4 linked regions of the Caenorhabditis elegans genome follow. The protein of the gene in region 3 interacts with the protein of the main gene of each other region in a pairwise test. Each region holds a gene or a part of one and is shown on either strand. Other genes may lie near its edges. The genes, in order: gdi-1, col-120, C47D12.2 and wts-1.

Evidence for each region.
Region 1: the proteins of C47D12.2 (region 3) and gdi-1 interact in a two-hybrid assay, tested with the Caenorhabditis elegans proteins (one large-scale study listed by BioGRID).
Region 2: the proteins of C47D12.2 (region 3) and col-120 interact in a two-hybrid assay, tested with the Caenorhabditis elegans proteins (one large-scale study listed by BioGRID).
Region 4: the proteins of C47D12.2 (region 3) and wts-1 interact in a two-hybrid assay, tested with the Caenorhabditis elegans proteins (one large-scale study listed by BioGRID).

Annotation. Positions count from the first base shown.
Region 1 is NC_003282.8:14,790,587-14,794,733, forward strand, and holds gdi-1 (Rab GDP dissociation inhibitor), read right to left. Parts: upstream 2,265-4,147; coding exon 1,226-2,264; intron 950-1,225; coding exon 696-949; intron 639-695; coding exon 552-638; downstream 1-551. Other genes in the region: melo-1 (RRM domain-containing protein), read left to right, coding at 1-77; coq-3 (Ubiquinone biosynthesis O-methyltransferase, mitochondrial), read right to left, coding at 2,624-2,821, 2,874-3,034.
Region 2 is NC_003282.8:9,260,100-9,263,694, reverse strand, and holds col-120 (Nematode cuticle collagen N-terminal domain-containing protein), read left to right. Parts: upstream 1-1,907; 5' UTR 1,908-1,941; coding exon 1,942-2,018; intron 2,019-2,068; coding exon 2,069-2,153; intron 2,154-2,199; coding exon 2,200-2,299; intron 2,300-2,346; coding exon 2,347-3,026; 3' UTR 3,027-3,085; downstream 3,086-3,595. Other genes in the region: flh-1 (FLYWCH transcription factor 1), read left to right, coding at 1-218, 267-1,037, 1,084-1,593.
Region 3 is NC_003280.10:11,674,416-11,679,740, reverse strand, and holds C47D12.2 (Dymeclin), read right to left. Parts: upstream 3,436-5,325; 5' UTR 3,432-3,435; coding exon 3,289-3,431; intron 3,240-3,288; coding exon 3,093-3,239; intron 3,037-3,092; coding exon 2,828-3,036; intron 2,770-2,827; coding exon 2,682-2,769; intron 2,635-2,681; coding exon 2,393-2,634; intron 2,331-2,392; coding exon 1,843-2,330; intron 1,793-1,842; coding exon 1,676-1,792; intron 1,365-1,675; coding exon 1,173-1,364; intron 1,123-1,172; coding exon 679-1,122; 3' UTR 544-678; downstream 1-543. Other genes in the region: sfxn-1.4 (Sidoreflexin), read left to right, coding at 1-128, 174-540; trr-1 (Transcription-associated protein 1), read left to right, coding at 3,885-4,022, 4,070-4,855, 4,910-5,208, 5,254-5,325.
Region 4 is NC_003279.8:10,291,890-10,299,514, forward strand, and holds the start of wts-1 (Serine/threonine-protein kinase WARTS homolog), read right to left. Parts: upstream 6,039-7,625; 5' UTR 5,958-6,038; coding exon 5,835-5,957; intron 4,871-5,834; coding exon 4,613-4,870; intron 4,232-4,612; coding exon 3,974-4,231; intron 3,459-3,973; coding exon 3,250-3,458; intron 3,192-3,249; coding exon 3,086-3,191; intron 3,040-3,085; coding exon 2,932-3,039; intron 2,688-2,931; coding exon 2,121-2,687; intron 1,838-2,120; coding exon 1,497-1,837; intron 1,343-1,496; coding exon 982-1,342; intron 933-981; coding exon 741-932; intron 454-740; coding exon 250-453; 3' UTR 190-249; coding exon of another isoform or gene 1-189. Other genes in the region: T20F10.2 (Si:ch211-1a19.3), read left to right, coding at 6,420-6,448, 7,386-7,455, 7,502-7,619. UniProt on the Caenorhabditis elegans protein: Phosphorylates yap-1 which may negatively regulate yap-1 nuclear localization. Plays an essential role in larval development.

The sequences.
Region 1 (4,147 bases), on a different chromosome or scaffold from region 3:
AGAATATGGAGGATTTGTACAAAAAGATGATGCAACGTGTCGATGATCAGCTCGATGCTCTGCTTGTGATGGCTTAAACTGGGATTTTTTCTTTAATCAATTATGTAAAAACATATATGCTTATTCTTCTCCAATTTTCAAATGGAAATGATCTCCCTTCATCAAATGTAATCCCATCCTATCCAAACTTTCTGATCGTGATAATAATTGTATTTCTGTAATGAAGTACTTCAAAAGGATAAAGTGATTTATAGATTTACGAAGCGGACTTTGTTTGGGAATTGTAAAGTTAAATACAAAGGAAATAGTGGGAAGAAATTTTGTTTTCGGGACGAAAATTGAAATTTAAAAAAAGGGTTCTCGGGGAATCACATGAGGATAGAGACTGGAAAAGAGAAAATACAATAAATTAAAATCGGTTGAAAATGAACATTGGACAGGAGAAACAAACGGAACGGGAATCGTTTTTTTTATAGAGGCGACAAAAAAGAGCAAAAGCAGCATCAGAAGCGTCAAATCAGAGTACTCAAAAGAAGGGAATGGATATTCAATTATTCCTGATCATTCAACGACAAGTGAGTGATGTTGGTGAAGTCGAATTCTTTGGTCGTTCCACGTTCGAACATGTTGAGCACGTCCTGAAAAATGAATAATTATAATTTCTTTCAAAAATTGTTTTAAATTCTTTAAATTACCTTGCAAGTGGTTTCAAAGTGAGTCGTAGCATCATAAGATTGAGAGATGAAGATCTGTGACTCAGATCCCAAGTCAGATGGCTCATAAACATCGGAAATCTGAATGAACTTCTCGGCAATTGCGCCAAGAAGTTGAAGTCCTGGAAGAACTTCAGCCTCTGGATTGGCTGTCTCGACAGTGGTGGAGACCATTGCCAAATACCATCCCTTTGGTGTCACCATGTTCGTGTTGGAGCAGCATGAGATGTAGATGTCTGAAAAAAAGGGAATTAGTGATGCTGAAAGCGTGAGTTTTGCAAAAAGCAGCGAGTCGCACAGAAAAAGAGGCGGAGAGTAAATTGGCAAACCGGCGGCTCGGTTTTTCCTCCTTTTAATTTATTTTTCAATAAAGTTTCAATTTTACCTAATTCTCATAGGATCGTGAGACTATTTTAGTCTTCGGATAATTAAATTCGATAATATTTTCATTCAAACATTAACAAAAAAAGTAGGAAAAACCCGTGCCGCAAGATTGCAAAATTACGCCCTACCTCTTTTCTGTGCGACGCGCTGCTTTTCCAAGACTATAAATTTACCATAATGTCTTCCAACTTGCTTTTGTGGAATGATAATCTGGCAGGATTGAGCATCATTTGTATTTGGAATTGGATGGTTCAACAAACAAATGGCTCGGACAACTTGTCCAGTCTTCTTGACACGATCCTTGGCGTATGAGGGATCGCAGTAGATCTGCTTTCCACGGACAATCTCATCTCCACACTTGACTCCAATAGCCTTTCCATTCTCCATCACAATCTCGTCGACTGGCTTGTCGAGCATGTAGGTTCCTCCGTAGATGGCCGAGAGACGAGCGAATCCCTGTGGAAGTTCTCCCAATCCGTACAATGGGTACAAGTATGGTGACTTTCCATAACGAGCCAATGAGTCAGAGTACAATCGGATCTTCTCAACAGCTGGAGCGTATGGTTGATTCTTGTGCTCATCGTCACGGTAGAGGGCCAGCGCGTGTCCGGTGAAATCGGCGGTGTTCTCGTCAAGGCCAAACTTCTCGTAAACCTGCTGCATTGTGCTGTTGTGTGGGTCAAGTCCTTGCCAAGTGTCCTCCTTGTTCTCATCGAATTGTTGCACCCAGACGAGGAACTTCTTGAAGCGACGTTTCTCGAACATTCCCATAAGGGAAGTGGCAAGAGCCTCCATCTCATCGGCCGGCACCTTGTAGATCTTTCCACCCTTCACAACGAACGAGGCCTCAATCGACTTGAATTCCAAGTAGCGAGTGACTCCAGTATGGATGAGAAGCTTGACCAATGGCCCGTTGGCCATCAAAAACTTTGGAATCAAGTCGACGTTCCAGTCACGTCCACGTCCCATCTCCTGTTGTGGCTTGGCTTGTGGACCGTGGAATTTCTCGTAGAGTTGCTCAAGTGGAGTCAGTGAAGCTGACTCTCCTCCATAATAGTTGTTTCGGTCAATGTGGAGAACCTTCTTTCCGGAAACCGACAGCATTCCCGAGATGATGCACTCCTTGAGGCCGGTTCCGAGAACGATGGCATCGTATTCCTCATCCATTTCGAGCGAGTTTTTCGGGGAATTGGTTGGAACTCCTGAAAATTGATCGGATTGTGATTTGGAAAATTGCGGGGAAAGAGAAACTGAAAGAAAAGTTGAATTTCAAAAAGGAAATTTTAGAATTCAAGAAAATAATTATAAAAACTGAAGAAAGAGAGTGAGAGGGAGGGAGGGAGAGACGCAGAGAATAAAGTTGTTGAAAATCAGATATTTTGCGGGTAGATCAAACCCAATTGTTTGACATTTAAAAGAGTTAGGTCTCAAATTATTTTTTTTTTTGAAAATTAAAAAAAATAGCACCAGTAACATATGGAAACATGAAAAAAAAACTAGCAACACTAAACAAAAAATCTTCAAATCTAATTCTTCACTGCCAAAATTCCGTAATTACACTGAGTCGATTCGATCCATGTCCAGTGATTTCCAACCGGATGAAACATTAATCCATGCACCGCCGTCACCCGGCAACCCGCTTTTTCGAGATGTGAAGTGAGCTCGGCGGGTGTGATGAATTTTTCCCAGTCGTGGACTCCGGGCGGCACGATTTTGAGTACATTCTGAAAATTTTCAAATTTATTTCCAAAAAAAAAAGAAAGAAAAAAATCAAACCTCTGCAAGCCAAATAGCTGCCAATTTGCTCAGCCACGTTCTGTTGATAGTTGTGATGAAGAGCGGGGCACCGGGGCGAGCCAGCTCAGCGAGGCAGCCAATGAATCCGGGAAGATCGGCGACGTGTTCGACAATTTCCGAAGCGACGACTGCATCGTAGGCTGGAATTATTGAAGATTTTAAGGTAAATTGCTAAAAAATACAGAAAAGAATGGGGAAAAGATGTGTTGCGAAATATTTTTTAACTTTTGAGTAGATTGGAAGTAGAAATCAATAATTTTCGATTACTATTCAAGAGTACGTAGGAGTTTCACAGAACTTCATCAAGTCTACGCAAGAGTTTCATTTCATTTAAGACCTTTTCTGTGAAAGTTTTCAGTCAAGTGACTTCAAAATCGTAAACAACTCAAAAAATAGGTTATTCTAAATAATTTCACCAATTGATTCGTATAATCGCAGTAAACATAATAGTTGAAAAGATGACGTCAGCTGTCCTAGCGACACGTGGATCGAGCTTCAAATGGCCGAATCGCCGACATAGAATGACACGTGGCAACGACGAACACAGGGGCGCCCAGTTAGGGAATGTTTGTCATCAGAGACAGCAACAACCAGAGAGGGTCTACGAGATGATGCTGCTGCGTGTGAGTGTGAGTGAGAGTGAATTTGAGCGCTCATTCCCTTTCTCACTCACTCTCTCCGCGGTTAACCCCAAACGGGATGGCGGTCGAAATGAGCGTCCAAAATGGACTGAGAGAAGGGAGCGACGGCGAGAGACTGGAGAGATCAAATAACATCTGAGGACATCTGGGTTGGATCTAGTATTATTCAAGACTTCCGAACTGTAATAATATCCAGTTGAGACCTTCAAAATTGAAGTCTAGGACATCTAGAACTGAAAGTTCGAGAACCTACAAGCCATAGACGCAGACACAACCGGATGAGGGTGAGAACACGAGACGCAGAAATGTGGGGATTGTTGTGTTGGCCCACACATCGAAAAGGGGGGGGGGAGAGAGAGAGAGACACAACACCGAAGAAGAACAAAATCGATAAAATGTCCAAGAAGAGGAGAAGCCGGACGGGTGGAGGAGGAGAAGACGGCGAGCAAAATAGGGAAATAGAGAACAGAACAGAAGAGTTGAAAGCTTTGTATCCAAAATTATTCCAAGGGGGCACCGGAAATCGAATTGAATTGGGTTGGATCAACACTTTTTTCAACAAAAAAGAAAGGAAATTCGTCGAGAAGACTCAATTTCAAGTCAACTGTGAAG
Region 2 (3,595 bases), on a different chromosome or scaffold from region 3:
CCAACATATCTTCTCCATCCCCTCCGTCGTCGTCTTCTCTTAATGCTCCAAGTCTTGCGGATGCTCCTGAAGTTAGATCCGATGATGGAGAAGCCGAAACTTCCGAACCATCGACTTCTGTCACAGCTGTACCAATGGAGATTGTGTCCCAAGCATCTACATCTGCTCCTGTTAACCAGTTGCTCGCGAGCGGAATTGATATGTCTAGCGTTATTAAAGTAAGTTTCCTCTATCCAAGATGTTATTTCATTTGATTGTTATTTCAGAACAACGCTGTTTTACAGGCACTTCTTGCCAGTGCCAGTGCCGGTGGATTCGGAGACAACGCAGGCCTCACCATGTCAAAATTATTGACCGCCGCTCTCGCCAATGGATCCACTGCGGTTGCTAAAAGAGATGCAGGTTCTCCACGTACTGATATCCCAAAGAAAACTCGTCTGAAAGTGTTTTCAAACGGATTTTTCATGACATTTGACAAGCTTTCATCATGTCAAAAGAAATATTTCTGGAGATGTGAATACAAGAACACTTGTAAAGCACGAATGCATACGGATATTGTTACTGAAAAGATCCTCACGTTTATCCATGAGCACAATCACAGTGCACCAATAGATGAAGAAGTTAGACTTTATGGATTGGACCCAACGAATATCGAAAGAAATCGTGTCTACATAGTTGGAAATGTTGCTGATCCAAATCAACGAAGAAAGATCCGAAAGCAAGTTGCGGATAGAGAAGCAGCTGCAAAGAGGCTCGTTCAACAGCAAGAAGAAGAACAACAGAAGCAACAAAGTGCATCATCAATTGTGGCGGCTCGAGCAGCTTATGCGCAAGCAATGCAGAATGGCTCAATACCCACATCTTCTGGGGTCGCGTCTTTTCTCCAGTCAACTTCGGCCACTGCTCCAATGACGTCTCATTCAATGCTCCTTGCGCAGATGCCATTTTTAAATAATATTAAAACGGAGATGTCAAATATGGTGAAAAACGAACAATTCACTCCTGAAAGATACACACAGCATATGTCTCCAAACTTGGTATGTCAACTTAGTGTTGAAAGTTTATTCTATAATAATTTTTAAGCCATTGCAGACCGCCACAATTGCTCCACTAATAATTCCAACAGAGAACTACGACTCACCTTCATATAGACAACCAGCAATCAAAAGAAAAGCTACTGATTTGACGAATGAAGAACATGATTTGAGAAGAGATCCGATGTTCCAGCCAACTTTCGAGCTTGCCAGAAAATTGAGAAAACTGTGGAAAGGAGAACCGAACAGATATCCAAGAACTACTACGACTCCGACTCATCATTTTGAATTCTTCCTTTCTAAAAATGATGGAACAGATGAGCATCTCTATGTTCCAATGAGAATCAATCTCCGTGATGAAGCACACTTAAAAGAGGCACTTCAAGACTTCTGTGGTCAACAATGTATCGGAATGCTTCTTTTCGGAATTTCACCAAAGATCAGTGTAATGTTCAATCAACCCATGTTGAATAATTGGGACAATAATCAATTCTTCCTGCTCGACATTTCAAATCCAAGCCGTTGGCGACTGATGTATGTGGATGATCAAGCTGTGTAATTTAACCGAATACTGATTGTTTTTTATATGTGTAAAATGTAAAATTTCCTCCACTCTCCACCTATCTCATTAAATATTTTCTGTGACATTTCTCCATCGAAACTGGTTTTTACCCAATGTAAACCTCATCCTAAGTCTACGATTCAATCTAAATCACATCTACCTCCCTTTTCCAGATGTTTTTTGAACCATTCCACTAATAATGTGTAATGTTATCTTTGACTTGCTATCAATTATCCTTATTTTTTAACGTGTTCTATCCGTTGTAGGATTGTAATAAAACAGTAAAGTGATAAGCGTGAATGATATAAAACACAGTTGAAAATGATTAGGTGATTGGAAGAAGAAATGAATTTGAAGAAGAATTTAGTGAATTCTGAAGAGGATGAACTTCGAAAAGTTGCTTTCGTGGCGACTGTTGTCAGGTATGTTCCGATTTCCACGTGGCAGAATAGTACAAGCTGGAAATTTTCAGTGCTGCTTCTGGAATCATGTGCATTATTCTAATTCCTGGGCTTTACACATATCTACAATATATTCAAAGCTCTGTTCAAACTGATGCAAGTGATTTCTATTCACATTTTGGTATTTATTCTGCATTTTTAGGTTGGATTTTGTGTTGACGGGGCTAAGAATCTGGAAAATATGTATGAATCAACGAAGGCTGTTGGTTCAGGGCCAGTAAAAAGACAAGCTGGATATGGAGGTAACTTGTAACTTTTGTGGGACTTTTTGAAACTAATTCAATATTAGCTTCTTCCCCCTCTCGAGCTTCTGGAAGTCATCCAGCTCCATCTCCATACGACGCTGCATCCACTTCTTCTTCATCTTCTTCCGATTCTTGTTGCAGCTGTGGAATTGGTCTTGCTGGGCCAGCAGGTTTCCCAGGTCGACCAGGACGAGATGGAATAGATGGACCAGCCGGAAAACCTGGACGAGATGGGCAAGATTTGGATGGAGAATCGTCTTCTGATGGATCACAAATTGAGCTTGATTGCCCAGCAGGACCACCAGGGCCACCAGGAAATCCAGGTCCTCAGGGTAATTCTGGGCGACCTGGAATGGATGGTATGCCTGGTAGAAATGGAAGATGCGGGAGACCAGGAGAGCAGGGAGAACGTGGACCAAATGGAGAAGATGGACGACCTGGAAGACGTGGAGACGATGGAATGCCCGGAACAGTTAACGAAATTCCAGGCCAAGCAGGTCCACCAGGTCTTCGTGGTGCTCCTGGAGCTACTGGATCGCAAGGACCACGTGGAAATGATGGTAGACCAGGAAACAAGGGACCAGCAGGACCACCTGGAGACCAAGGATTTGATGGAGCACCAGGAGGACCTGGAGCTGATGGAGAACCTGGAGCACAAGGACCTTTGGGAGCAAAGGGAGAATGTTCACACTGCCCACCTCCACGAACTGCTCCTGGATACTAATTTTTATCTGTTTTGTTGATTAGATTTAGTTTCTGTAAATAATGAACACTTTTAGCACTATTTACTTAAATTATTCAAAAAGTACAGTGACCTATCTGCGAAACACAACGCAAGACGAAGAGACACAGACATAAAAAACTACAATACTCCGTTCTGACGCTGCTCGTATTTTATTTTTTGCGTCTTATTTTTTTTAATTTTTGCACGTTTTGTTTAAAATTTACTTTAAATTTTTATTTAATGAATTCCCGACCTTAATTTTTGTAAAAATCGGTTTGCATTACACATTTTGTTAATATAAACTGTTAAAAATCAACTATCATCGCCCATACTTCTCCGAAATGAGCCAAAATTGAAATTTACGTCATGTTCTTCAACATTTAAAATCATTAGAAACGTTTGTTGATTTGAAATTAAAGTATAGCAATTTATTTGAAAACTCTCGTTTTCATGATATATGTACTGACAAATCTAAGGTAAATAATCAATTTCTAAGTTTAAAAGAGATCAAATTGTTTTCAGTTTAAGCATATTTAAATCTAAATCTTATCGGATTTCATTGTTTCTAG
Region 3 (5,325 bases):
TCTTGTGCTCTTTCATTCAATTATATGCTCAAAAAGTGGAAAAATGCTCCGCCGATTCTTGCTCGTCTCGTTCCATTTGCTGCTATTGCATTCGCCAATGCAATTAATATTCCTATGATGAGAAACAAGTGAGAATCAGATTAAAAGACATTTTAATAATTTATTTGTTTCAGAGAATTTACAAATGGAATTCCAGTTGAAGATGGTGAAGGTAGAACAATGGGATTTTCAACAGTTGCACCTGGTCATGCTATTCCACAAGTTGTGCTCAGTCGTGTTGGAATGGCGGTTCCAAATATGGTTCTAGGACCAGTGATCTTGGAGCAACTTTCCAAAACTGCATGGTATACACCTGGAATGGCTGCACCTCTTCAAACATTGCTCTGTGGATTCATGTTGGCTTTTTCCACACCAATTTGTTGTGCTCTTTTCCCACAGAAAAGCTCAATTCAAGTTGATAAGCTGGAGCTTTCACTTCAAGATCATATCAACAAGTTGGCAAATCCCCCGAAAGTGGTGTACTACAACAAAGGACTCTGAACTCAATTAGATAATAGATTTATTGTACATTATTATGGTATCTTATGATCATCACATGAATAAGGCCACTTATCAATATTTGCGTCCGAATAAATACTACCGGCATTATGCTTACCGATTAATAAAACAATTTGAGGGTCAAGCAATACTTTGGGCGTTAAATATTTTGATTCTTGATGTTTCGAAGTAGATTCCCGAATGTTGAACAGATAGCCTCCAGACGTATGGCACAAAGAAATCGACAGTGTACTCATCCTCCACGTATCGGAACTTCAATTCTGGGAACTTTGCGAGTCGATCGGTTGGCCATATGTTTGCCTCCTTCTCGATTATTTGCAGCATTGTGGATCCATCGCCTGCTGGGACATGTATCACTTTCGACGAGAAGTGAGAGATTACTGCTGCGATGTTAACAAGAAGATCTTGGAACATTGGGTGCTGAACGTATGCATCGAATAGAGCACGATGGTAGAGAAGGTTGTAGATGAGGTGTGAATTGTGACGGAGTCCTCCACAAAGTGCACTGTTGATGATCTCAAGGAGAGTTCGAATTCCTTCTTCGAGAGCAGTAATGTCGTCATGCTGAAATATTATACTTTTTATTTGGATTTTTGAACAAAATATGAACTTACGAAATTGATCGGCTGTCCATCTGCAACATCATTCTGACTGCTGACTCTCATATGATCCACCATTTTAGCATGCCGTTTTGTTAGAAGATCAAGCAGTGATATGAGTCTTTGGCAAACAATTGGAGCAAGATTTTTGAAGAAAGCTGACATGTTTGCAAGAGCAGCTAAGCAGTTTGTGTGAAGATATCGGTCCTGGAAAAATTTGAGTTTGGTTTAAAAAAAAACAAAATTTTGTATCTTCAGGTAGCAACTGTCGGTTTTTCGCTTTTTCAATTGTTCGATTTTTCGATTTTTAAAAAAGGAGCTTGATATATTGGCCATTATTCTTCTTTTTAGATGAAACTTTTATGTTTGTTCTTATCAATATAAACAAAATTAGATAAAAAATCATATTTTATGGTTAATTTTCTGAACATTTTTTTCGATTTTTCGATTTCCACTGAAAAACGTCAAAAAATCGAAAAAAAAATTGAAAAATGACACCCTTGGTAGCAACAACTAACTCTAGTTTTCAAAGCATTCTTCTGAATTGCTCGAACCAGCACAAGAGTTGTCAAACCTCCGAGAGAGATCTCGCGGACACTGAAATCACTGTCCAGCCAGCCGAGATCCTTGATCATCTGCAAATATATACTTCAATATAATCTTAGCATTTCTAGTGAAAACTCACCGTCTCGTGTATAATCTTGCAGAAAATATCATCTTCACTGAGAATCAAGGCGACAATCAATGCAAGATAAACATGGTGAGAGTTGTTCGATGTCGCGACACCGTCGTGAAGAATTCGAAGAACAGGAACAACTAGATTCTCGAGGTTGATCCGAGACAACACATAGTTCCGGAATCCCGAGTTCGCCTGTAGAAGCATGTAGAGTAGAAGCATCGGAGGTTCCTGGCCAGCGGTAGCACACAATCTTTCGTATAATCCATTATAATCGATTTTGAACGACACAATCTGAGTAGGCAATGTGGATACTTCTTGAGCATTTTGGAAGAGAGCAAGGGTTTCTTTGAATGGATTGGATGAATTGAGAGGTTGATGGCATGAAAGATTGAGGAGAAGCAGGATGCTTAAGTTTCCAAGAGTAAGTGGGGGCTTCTTTTCTTCCTCTGCGGAGTCGATACCAGTTGCCATTTGGACCATTGACCACATTGATGCTTAAAAATCGTGTTTTTTTTTTAATTTAATAAAGAATTAAAAAAGATTTTCAGTGACATACAAGCTAATCCAAAAACAATGCTCTCTTGTGGCTTTTGTACAGTCATGTGATACTCTGAATTGTGGATCAAATAATTGAGAAGAAGAGTTTTAGTGAGCGAAGCTGCGTGTTTCGCACATGATCCATCAATAAAGAATCTGAAGACAATTGAAGTATTCACAATTGATTCATTATATAGTTGAGAGCTCAGGAGAGTTAGGAGACATCGAACTGCTTCGACATGGATTGCCAATGTTGTTTCGCTGAAATTATTTTAATTCAATTTTTTAAAAAATAATTTAAAACTCACTTTACAGAAATATTGATTAAAATCGAAACCAGCTCATACGTGAACTCTTCTGCAGTGTTTTGAAAAACTATCGGGATATATTTTGTCGCTGAAAACGTCAGAATTTGATTATTATTGAATTTTTTTTTTAAATGAAGCTTATTTACCTCCATTATTATTTTCGTTTTCTGATTTCTGTTCGTCATCATCTTCCTCATCCGACGAGGAAGATGTAGACGACGATTCGGTTTCCGTACTCTCATGACTTTTGGCGAAAATCCTCACGAATTCTTTTTCCGTCATACGTTGAGTTAAAAATCTGGCGATGTAACGAAGAATGAGAAGAGCGTTTGATGTTTGCCATAAGTAGATTTTACTGAAATAAGAAAAAGCTTTAATTAAATATAATGATGATTTTTTTTTCCAACTCACTTTTCGCATTGTTCTGATGTTTTTAGTTCTGTGGCTCTGCGAAGGAAAAGTCGAATAAATGCAGCGAAATTTCCTGTTGTTTGTGTATTGTACATTAGACATTGAAGATGATCATCTAAAGCAGATTCCAAAGCGATTCGGGTGTCTCTAAACGATTATAACATTTTTAAAGCTTTTGCCTAATTTTAATCCTTACTCGTCGTCATCATCAAACTTGAGACTGAAAGAGAGAAGTTTGTTCCAAAATGGGTCATAATCGTCGACAGGTTCCAAACCGCTGAGTTTCTTCAGATAAATATTCTCCTGTAAGACCGTTTCCTTGGTTATAACTGATCCCATGTGTCTGAAATTTGTTATTACACTGTTAATAATCATAAAAATAAAAGAAAAAGTCAAGAAAGGGTCAAATATTAATCAGGTCACATCTTTTTTATTCAATAAAATCTCCTCTCTCGTTCGTGGCAATGCACGTGAAATGCGCCAACAACCGCGAGTGCGCCAACACACACACATACGCGTCAGCAGACAATTCGCTCTCGTTTGAAATTTAGTTGTTTCTTTGTTTCTGCTGAAATAATGTCAGTTTTCCGATAATTTCAGCGTTTTCTGACTGATTTTTCTTGTTGCATTCACTTCCTAATAGTTCATTCTACTCCATTCTTCATTTTATAATCTGTTTCCTTCGCAATTTAGTGAATTAAACACGTAAATCTTGTTTCAGATAAATTATTCAAATAGTTGCACAAAGCTCAATAGTTTAGAAGTATCTTCAGTGCTGGTCACTAATACAAAATGGATCCGGCTATGGCTTCTCCAGGCTATCGGTCTGTGCAGTCCGATCGGAGTAATCACCTAACAGAGCTGGAAACGAGAATTCAAAATCTTGCCGATAATTCACAAAGAGATGATGTCAAATTGAAAATGTTACAAGTTAGTTTCAATAATTCGTGTTAAGTAATCAATTTGTTCGGTTGCAGGAGATTTGGAGCACAATCGAAAATCATTTCACACTAAGTTCGCACGAGAAAGTCGTGGAGAGGCTCATTCTCTCGTTCCTACAAGTTTTCTGCAACACAAGTCCACAGTTCATTGCTGAAAACAATACACAACAGCTTCGAAAGTTAATGCTTGAAATCATTCTTCGACTTTCGAACGTAGAAGCCATGAAACATCATAGCAAAGAAATTATCAAGCAGATGATGAGGCTAATCACCGTGGAAAATGAGGAGAATGCCAATTTGGCTATCAAAATTGTCACCGATCAAGGGAGAAGTACCGGCAAAATGCAATATTGCGGAGAGGTTTCACAGATAATGGTCTCCTTCAAAACAATGGTCATTGATCTGACGGCGAGTGGTCGAGCTGGTGATATGTTCAACATAAAAGAGCATAAAGCTCCACCGTCAACTAGCTCCGACGAGCAAGTCATCACTGAATATTTGAAGACTTGCTACTATCAACAAACGGTTCTTCTCAACGGAACGGAAGGAAAACCGCCATTAAAATACAATATGATTCCATCAGCTCATCAGTCAACGAAGGTGCTCCTGGAGGTTCCGTATCTCGTGATTTTCTTCTATCAACATTTCAAAACAGCGATCCAAACCGAAGCGCTTGATTTCATGAGGCTTGGTCTTGATTTTCTAAATGTCAGAGTTCCAGACGAGGATAAACTCAAAACAAATCAAATAATAACCGATGATTTTGTCAGTGCACAGTCCCGATTCCTGTCATTCGTCAACATTATGGCTAAGATTCCAGCGGTAAGTTTCGTTTTTTCAAGTTTTTTTTCTGTAATCCTGATTTTTATTTTTCAGTTTATGGATCTTATCATGCAAAATGGACCGCTTCTAGTGTCGGGAACAATGCAGATGCTCGAGCGGTGCCCGGCTGATCTGATAAGTGTCCGACGAGAAGTTCTGATGGCTTTGAAGTATTTCACATCTGGAGAAATGAAGTCGAAATTCTTTCCAATGCTACCTCGACTCATCGCTGAGGAGGTTGTTCTGGGAACAGGATTCACTGCGATTGAGCATTTGCGAGTTTTCATGTATCAAATGCTAGCAGATCTGTTGCATCACATGCGAAATTCTATAGACTATGAAATGATCACACAGTAAGTTTGAATAAGACTTTCTGATGAAAAATGTTGAAATTTCAGCGTGATTTTCGTATTCTGTCGCACTCTTCACGATCCTAACAACTCTTCTCAAGTCCAGATTATGTCTGCTCG
Region 4 (7,625 bases), on a different chromosome or scaffold from region 3:
AATAAAAATTCATTTGAGCAAAAAAAAAACGAACGAAATAGTGTGGCGACATGAGAGAAAAAGAGAAAAGAAAAGAGATATTAAAAATATCTCGAATTCTGAAAACCGTATCGAGATCATCACAGAATTAGTAAAGAGGGTAATTTGGAAAATTAAAGATAAAAATAGAAGCAAAATGAGTAAAAAATGATACTAAAACATCACATTAAAATCATATATAATATAATCAATAAACAAATTCATGCTCTTTTAAATATGAGACGATGAATCTTCTTCCGACACTGACTCATTAAAAGTTCCGTTTTCAAGTAATGGCCGAAGTGACCGACGACGAGATGGTCGAAGTGATGGGCAACCAACAGAATCCGTATCAAAGAAATGACGATAAGTGAATTCATAGAAGGCTGGATTATGAAGACCTCGCACATTCGGCTTGTCAGCACGGTCATTGTCCTGGAAATTTGGAATTAGAAGTGTGATAGGTTTTGAAAGAAAACTTTTCAAGATTCCAAATTTAAGTTAAAAATTTGAGTAGTGAAACTCAATTATGTTTTTATTGGAGCTGCTATGTATAATAGTTTCAGAAACTCCACAATTAATTTACTTTAATTCAAATAAAAATTCTGTATTTCAAACTCAAATATTCATAATTTTGATGCTATCTTTTTTATGTCTACATACATAAAATTATATCTAACTTTTTTAGACACTCTAAACAAAGTTTAAAAGGAAAAACTCACTTGAAACGTTTCAAAATTAGAAGTGTCTTCATCGTGAGTGACCCGAGGAATATAAATATAATCAGCTCTCAGTTTTCTCAAGTTAACCCAGTCAATTCCCCTGAACCATGGATGATTTTTGACTTGTGCCGTTCGTTCGGCAACATCCTTCCCGTGAGATCCCAATCTTGACGACGCGTCACAAATTAGTTGCTGAAAAAGTTTTGGTCTTCACAACGTCTATTTAAACAAAAAAACTTACTTGAATCATCATAAGGCACTCTTTTGATAGATTTCCACAATATGTAAAATCAAGGAAGTTTCTCCAATTCTTAATTCGATGTTGTGTTCCACCAGGTGTATCATCATGAAATGGCACTCTTCCAAATACCATCTCATACAAAATCACTCCAGTCGACCACCAATCACAACTCTGATTGTGCCCGGTTTTGGCAATTACTTCGGGTGCCATGTAATTTCCTGTTCCAACAAGAGAATGGGCGGTTATCCGGCGGGTTTGTTGTCGAACATTTAGAACTTTAACGCTTTTATCAATAGCTGCAACTTCAGGAGGAAGCGAGAATGAATCGACACGATGATGGTCGTTTTCAGGTCCATAGTATCTAGAAAATATTGGATGGTTTCATGTGTGACTTAAATATTTTTTGCACAGATGTTGAGCACACCAACTACAATTAATCATTTGCGTCGCGCCTAGGCTCTATTCCATTAGACACCCTCTCTTTCTCGTGACAAATAAACAATACATAATCTTACCTTCTGTCATGAGTCCACCTCAAACCAGTGCACAATCCAAAATCAGTCAACTTAATATGTCCATGTTGATCAATTAGAATATTATCCGGTTTCAAATCTCTATGAATAAATCCAACATTATGAACATATTCAATTGCACATGCCAGTTCAGCAATGTAGAATCTAGCGAGATCTTCTTCAAATATTCCTTTTTGAATCAATAAAGTCATCATATCTCCTCCGGGAACATATTCCATTATGAAGTATAGACAAGCATCATCTTGAAATGAGAAGAAAAGACGAACAATCCAAGGAGAATCAGCTTCTGCCAGAATATCGCGTTCGGCTTTCACATGGGCGGCCTGAAAGAAAATGGTGTTTTTAGTCAAAAAGTTTTGAAATTATTTTTCGATCATATCGCTTTACAGTCACATTTTAAAAACTACTAGACTCACAATATATCTGATATATTTTCCTACTAGTAGCAAATATAGAATCAATTAAATTAAAAAAAAAAAACCTAGAGTATCAAAAATGTTAGACTTTGCAGTTTTCTTACTTTCTATTCAAGGTTTTATTTCAAACGTAGGACACCAATATTTTCAAATTTTTAAACCAAGATCCTAAACAAATAACAAATCCTACCTGTTGTTTCATTATGACATCCGCTTTTTCCAAACTTTTCATTGCATAAACCTTCCGAGTATCATTTTTTCGAACCAATGAAACTTTTCCAAATGCTCCAACACCAATATGTGAGATGACAGTGAAATGGCTTTTACTCATCTTTTGTCTTCTTAATCTCGTATATTTTGACTCTTTTTGTTGAAGTAATCCCAGCATTTTATTCCTCATAATATCCGGTAATTGAGCTGAAACCATCTCCTTTTCCAACTGTTTCATTCGTTTTTCTCGTTCTTTATATTGCTGTAGAAGTCGTTCAACATGTTGTTCCATATAAAATCGAAGCATATTTGGTTTACATGGTTGAACTCTTCGTGTATTCTTGATGTATGGTTCCAAAAGTGTTCGATCAATTGGGGAGCTGACTCGTTTCGGAGGTGGCTCACTGGGTTGATTGTATTGAGGAGGAGGAGGTTGAGCACGTGATTTCATTGTGATTTCGAGATTTCTTGGTTTGAAAAGGATCGGCCGGAAATCTTCATGATTTGCATCGGAAGTGGATGGAATCAGGCGAGGGTCGGGACGCAGCTGAAATCATTTTATTTTTAGGGTTTATCCCCGAACTTTATAACAATTATTGTTCTATTCATAAAATTCAACTGGGCTCTCGAAACCGATTCTAAAGTAGTTTTGCAAATTTTTGCTGATTATGGGTGTCTGCGAAGACAAAACTTTTAGTCTCTTATATTTTATGAGCTCTGTCAAAAAAATGACTCTAGAAATATCAGTTAAATATTTCAGAAGGTAGGAGTTGAATTTTTCTCAAATTTACCTCATCTTTATAGTTGACAAAATTCTTCCTATCGACATCAGCTGTATACCGTGGACCAATAATGAATGATTTGCTTGGAAGAGGACTATCACCAACATTTACTTTTGTCTGAAATTAAAAATGAATTTTAATATCATTTGAGGTCATAAAATACCGTATGAGGAGAAGCAACATTGATACTAACAACACTACTAGCTGTTTTTTTGTCCATTGATGTATGATAAAGTCTCTGGATATTATCTGCTTTTCGTTCTTCACTCCTGAAAAGTTAAAGCAAAAGATTTATAGAATCCTTCTGATATCGTTTAGAAAACTTACATTGTCTCGATGGAAATCGTAGATTTTGCTGGAGGAGGCGGTGGGGGTGCCATATTCTTGTTGTGATTGAGCATTGTTGGATTCGGTGGTGGCGCTTTTACAACAGGATGAACTTTCATATGCAGGTGAGTACGGTAGTTGTCTGTTGCAACTGGAGTCATTCTAGTGTTCACCGGAGATGAATCGTAGGCTGGTGGAGGTGGTCGAGACTGAAAATTTTCATTTATTAAAGTGTCAGGTCTGCCTACTAGGGGTGTTTGTGTGTACTTTATTGGACTCTTTAATTTATTTTACAAAAAAAATTTCAGAAGTTATGAACAGGTCACAAGAAGGTCCCCCTATTGCTTGAACTAGGAGTATTTTTCAAAGAAAGTTTTGGTCCATTTTCTTTTCAGCTTAAACTTTCAAACTTTGTCAATTTGGAAGTATATTTTGTTACTAATTTTAGTTGTTCACACGTGTCTCGCCGTTGATTAAAGTGCCTTTTCAGTTTACGGGTGCACTAAATATTATCAAATATGTGACCGAAAATGTAGCCAAATCAACAGAAAAACATGGAACGAACGACCAAAATATGAAAAGTGATAATCGCATTGACAATTTGGACTTTTTTCAAAACTGAACCACCGCAAACCAATTTTTTTAAAACAAAATTTTAAGTGGGACTTCTCAGAAAAAGTACTTTCCGATTCTTTAGTATTATATTTTTTCGAGAACAACTTACATATCCTGGTGAGTATTGTGGTGCATTGTTATTCATATGATATGCAGGAGTTGGCATATCATATCGATATCCAGCAGGATGTATCCTAATCGACTCTTCAGTTGTTGTAGAAGGTGTTGATGATATAGTTGTTGATGGATTTCCATTTCGAATCATCTCTTTTCCACTTCGAAATACTGTCTCATTGGCACCAGTATCCATCATTAAATGTCTTTGTGGCATTGGTGTTATCCGCATCTTGTGACCACCACCTTCTGTCTGAAAATATGATTTTTTCACTTTTGAACCACCACCCTTCACCACTTTTGAAGATCATAAATCGATTCATAGTTGACAATTTTCATAAAATCCCAAAGTTGAGCTGAGCCACCTATTTCATAATTTTTTATTCAATAGAATTTCTAGCTAGTTTGCTACAATTCCATTCTTTTTTTTTTCGAAGAAAAATATGACGCTTTCGGCCGGTCTATGTATAAATTTCAAAAAAGTTATGTTTTTTTTGGGCATACGAACTGACCTAGACGGAAAATTTGACGGACAATTTTCCCAGCCAATCGAATTTTATTTTTTACTCTCAAAATGTTTTTCCATTCGATTTCCAGGACCATTTTTGATTAAAAAAAAAGAAATGTGACTCACTCTAAAAGAATTCGAATTTGATACAGCAGCGCTCGAGACTGTCGTCGTCGTCGCTGCTGCATTTGAAGAAGAAGACGAAAAATTCATCACTTCCGCATTGTCATTGGTGATGTCAGAATGGCTGACGGAAGAACTTGACGGTGTTGCAAGTGATCCAAGAGCCACGTGACTTGATAATAAACCGGCTTCATGTTCGTAAGCTTTCAGCGATTCGCGAATTTCGTCGAGTTTTGCACGATGACGCCCCACGCGGATTTCCTGGAAAAACAATTGGTTTAATTAGTTATGCCAAATTATGGTACCACTGCCCAGATGCGAATTTTTTAGAATTTTTGTAAAAAAAGGATTTCTTTAAAGCAAAAAACTTTGCGTTTCTATGGAAGTTTTCAATGTTTCAACACTGAAATTGTACATTTTTCTGAGCAATTTATATATTTTTCATATGAAAAATACTGATTCATTGATTACGAAACTATTAAAAGGTGATGCTTCTAAATGGAATTTTAGGTGATTTCATTTTCTTATCAAAACCGCCATTCCAAGTGATAACGTCTGCCATGAAAGCCCCGCATTGTCTCGGAACGCCAAAGTGTTGAATAAGAAAGGGTGAAGTAATTTTGAGGATTTTTTTTTAAATTTTAATGAGTTCTACGAATCTTGAACAGATTTTGAAATTCAAATCAGGAAAAAAAAACATGGAACTGCAAAAAAAAATGATTTGCGATTATAGATGTATTTACAAACAATAGCAAAGCCAATATAATTTAAAAGAAGACCTTTTGAATAGGACCCCACAAAAAATTTAGCAACAGAAGAGCATTTTGAACTAGAAAAAATTGGTCCGAAAATGCTAGAGGTAATTTTTAAGTTAAATAATTTTTTAAACGGAAATCTGAAAGCATTTTGATCGAGTTGATTAGGGGGAGAACATTTTTAAAAATTTTATTAAAACTCCTAGAATTTTCAATTGCTCTTAATCACTGAAAAACAACATGTCTGCAAAAAATAGCTTTTGGAGCAAGTCTACAGCTCTCGAAAGTTGTGAAAAGAGCACTAAAAAGTTTCAGATCGTGACACTTTGCCGCTTAAAATTTACAACGATCTAGTTTAAAGGTCCTCTTTCAAATGACACATGGTTCAGCTGAAAATCTAGGGAGTGATCAAGCCAAACAGATCAAGATCTGAATCAATAACCCAATCACTTTTCCAAACCAAAACCTACTGAATTGTGATGGGCATCTATCGCTGAATTAGTAGAGCCAAATGGGATCGGAGCAACTCCACGTTGATGTCTGATATCAGAAGATGCACCATTTGGAGTAGTACCAGGGGCAGCAGGTCGCATTCCAGGGGAATACAATGCAAAGGAGGGCCTCCTGCCGAACACTGACAAACACACACACGGAGAAGGCGATGGGAATGGATTGAAGTAGAAGAAGAAGAAGGTGAAGAGATAGAATGAAATGATGAGAGAGACAGTGATACAAAACTTTCTGTGTCTCTTATCGTTATGTGGTCTCTTTGCTTCCCGCCGCTCTCTCTCTGACTCCCGCAGGAAGAGGAGAAAAGTCTTTACTCTCTTTTGCAGGACATCTCTCTTTGTCTTATTCTCTCGTGTTGTCTCTTCCAACATTCCTCATCCCTCGTCACTCTAACATCTCTCCCCGACTCTCCAACCTTCTAGTGCTCATTTTCTGCCGTTTAGTTTCCAACACATTTAGGACGCCTGTGTCTCGGAACCTCTCGCCGTATCATCAGCGGCCATCATCGCCCGTCGAAAAGACATACTTGCCGGTATCCCCCCGTCATGTCATCCAGCAGAAAGCCTCTCATACGGTAAGTTTTTAGAAGCTTTTTATAAAACTCTGTGTTTGAACAAATATTTTTAAAGATGTTTTCCTGTTTAAAATTTGAATTGAAAGCCGATTTTGAGAACAACTTCGAAGTGTTGAAAATTTTCCGGATTCAAAAATGTGCACAATTTGTAAAATTCACCAGCTTTACTGAATTTAAAACAAATTTTTAACATCTGTAGAAAAGGGGTGCTCCTTGCCCTCGCCGGTAGTGGAGAGGCACTCCAGGCGCCCCTGTTACTGTCGACTGTGCCTGCGTACTTTTGAGAATATATATTACCTTCAACATCTATATTTTAAATACTGAATATTGGAATTTTCCGACAAAAAAATTACTCTGGCTTAAATTCTCAACCAAGTTTTCAAATTGTTTCTGTAATTTTGCATAAGACCCAGTAAGTGCTATAGTACATCATCAGCTTTTGTAATTGAATTAGAAATACGTACTCAAGTGATTTTAGGTTAAAACTGGAAATTGGAGTTGTAATTTTTTCACTGGAATGATAACTCTATATATTACTACTGAAAGAGTCACAACTCTGTAGTTTTTCTTATTTAAAATGCAGTTTTGAAAAAATAACAGTAGACATAAGCTTGATACTCGAATTTTCTTGTATTGACTCAGTTTTCTGTGTTTTTATGAATTTTGATGATTTTTTAAATCAAACAACTATGCATTTCCTCTAATTCTACTACAAATCCCCTTTAATCTCCGTTTTTTTGCATTCGTCAGCCTATCAAAAATCGATGTCTCTTTCCTTTTTGTATCTATGACATCCACGCAGTCTTCCGTTTGCATAAAAACGAAACGGTGCGCCGCAGATGTCGCGTGGCTTTTCCCTTTTTTGTAACCATTAAACAAACATATAGATACATAGAAGGACAACGTTTAAATAAATATTCAATTTTTTTTCTTTCAGGAGCAGTTCACACTCGGATCGTCCTACTACAATGAGGAATTGGCCCCTTTTTGTATTTCTTATTTGCCTGGTAATATAATTAACAAGAAGTCAATGAAATTATACACTTTTTGCAGGTATTATTCTTTTACGCATTCTACGTATATCAAGCTCAAGGAGAAGTTTTATCCCAGACAAACGAAGAAGTTCGACAACTATCCGCCCAGCTGAGTCTCACCAAAGGAAAGCTTGTTGGTTAGT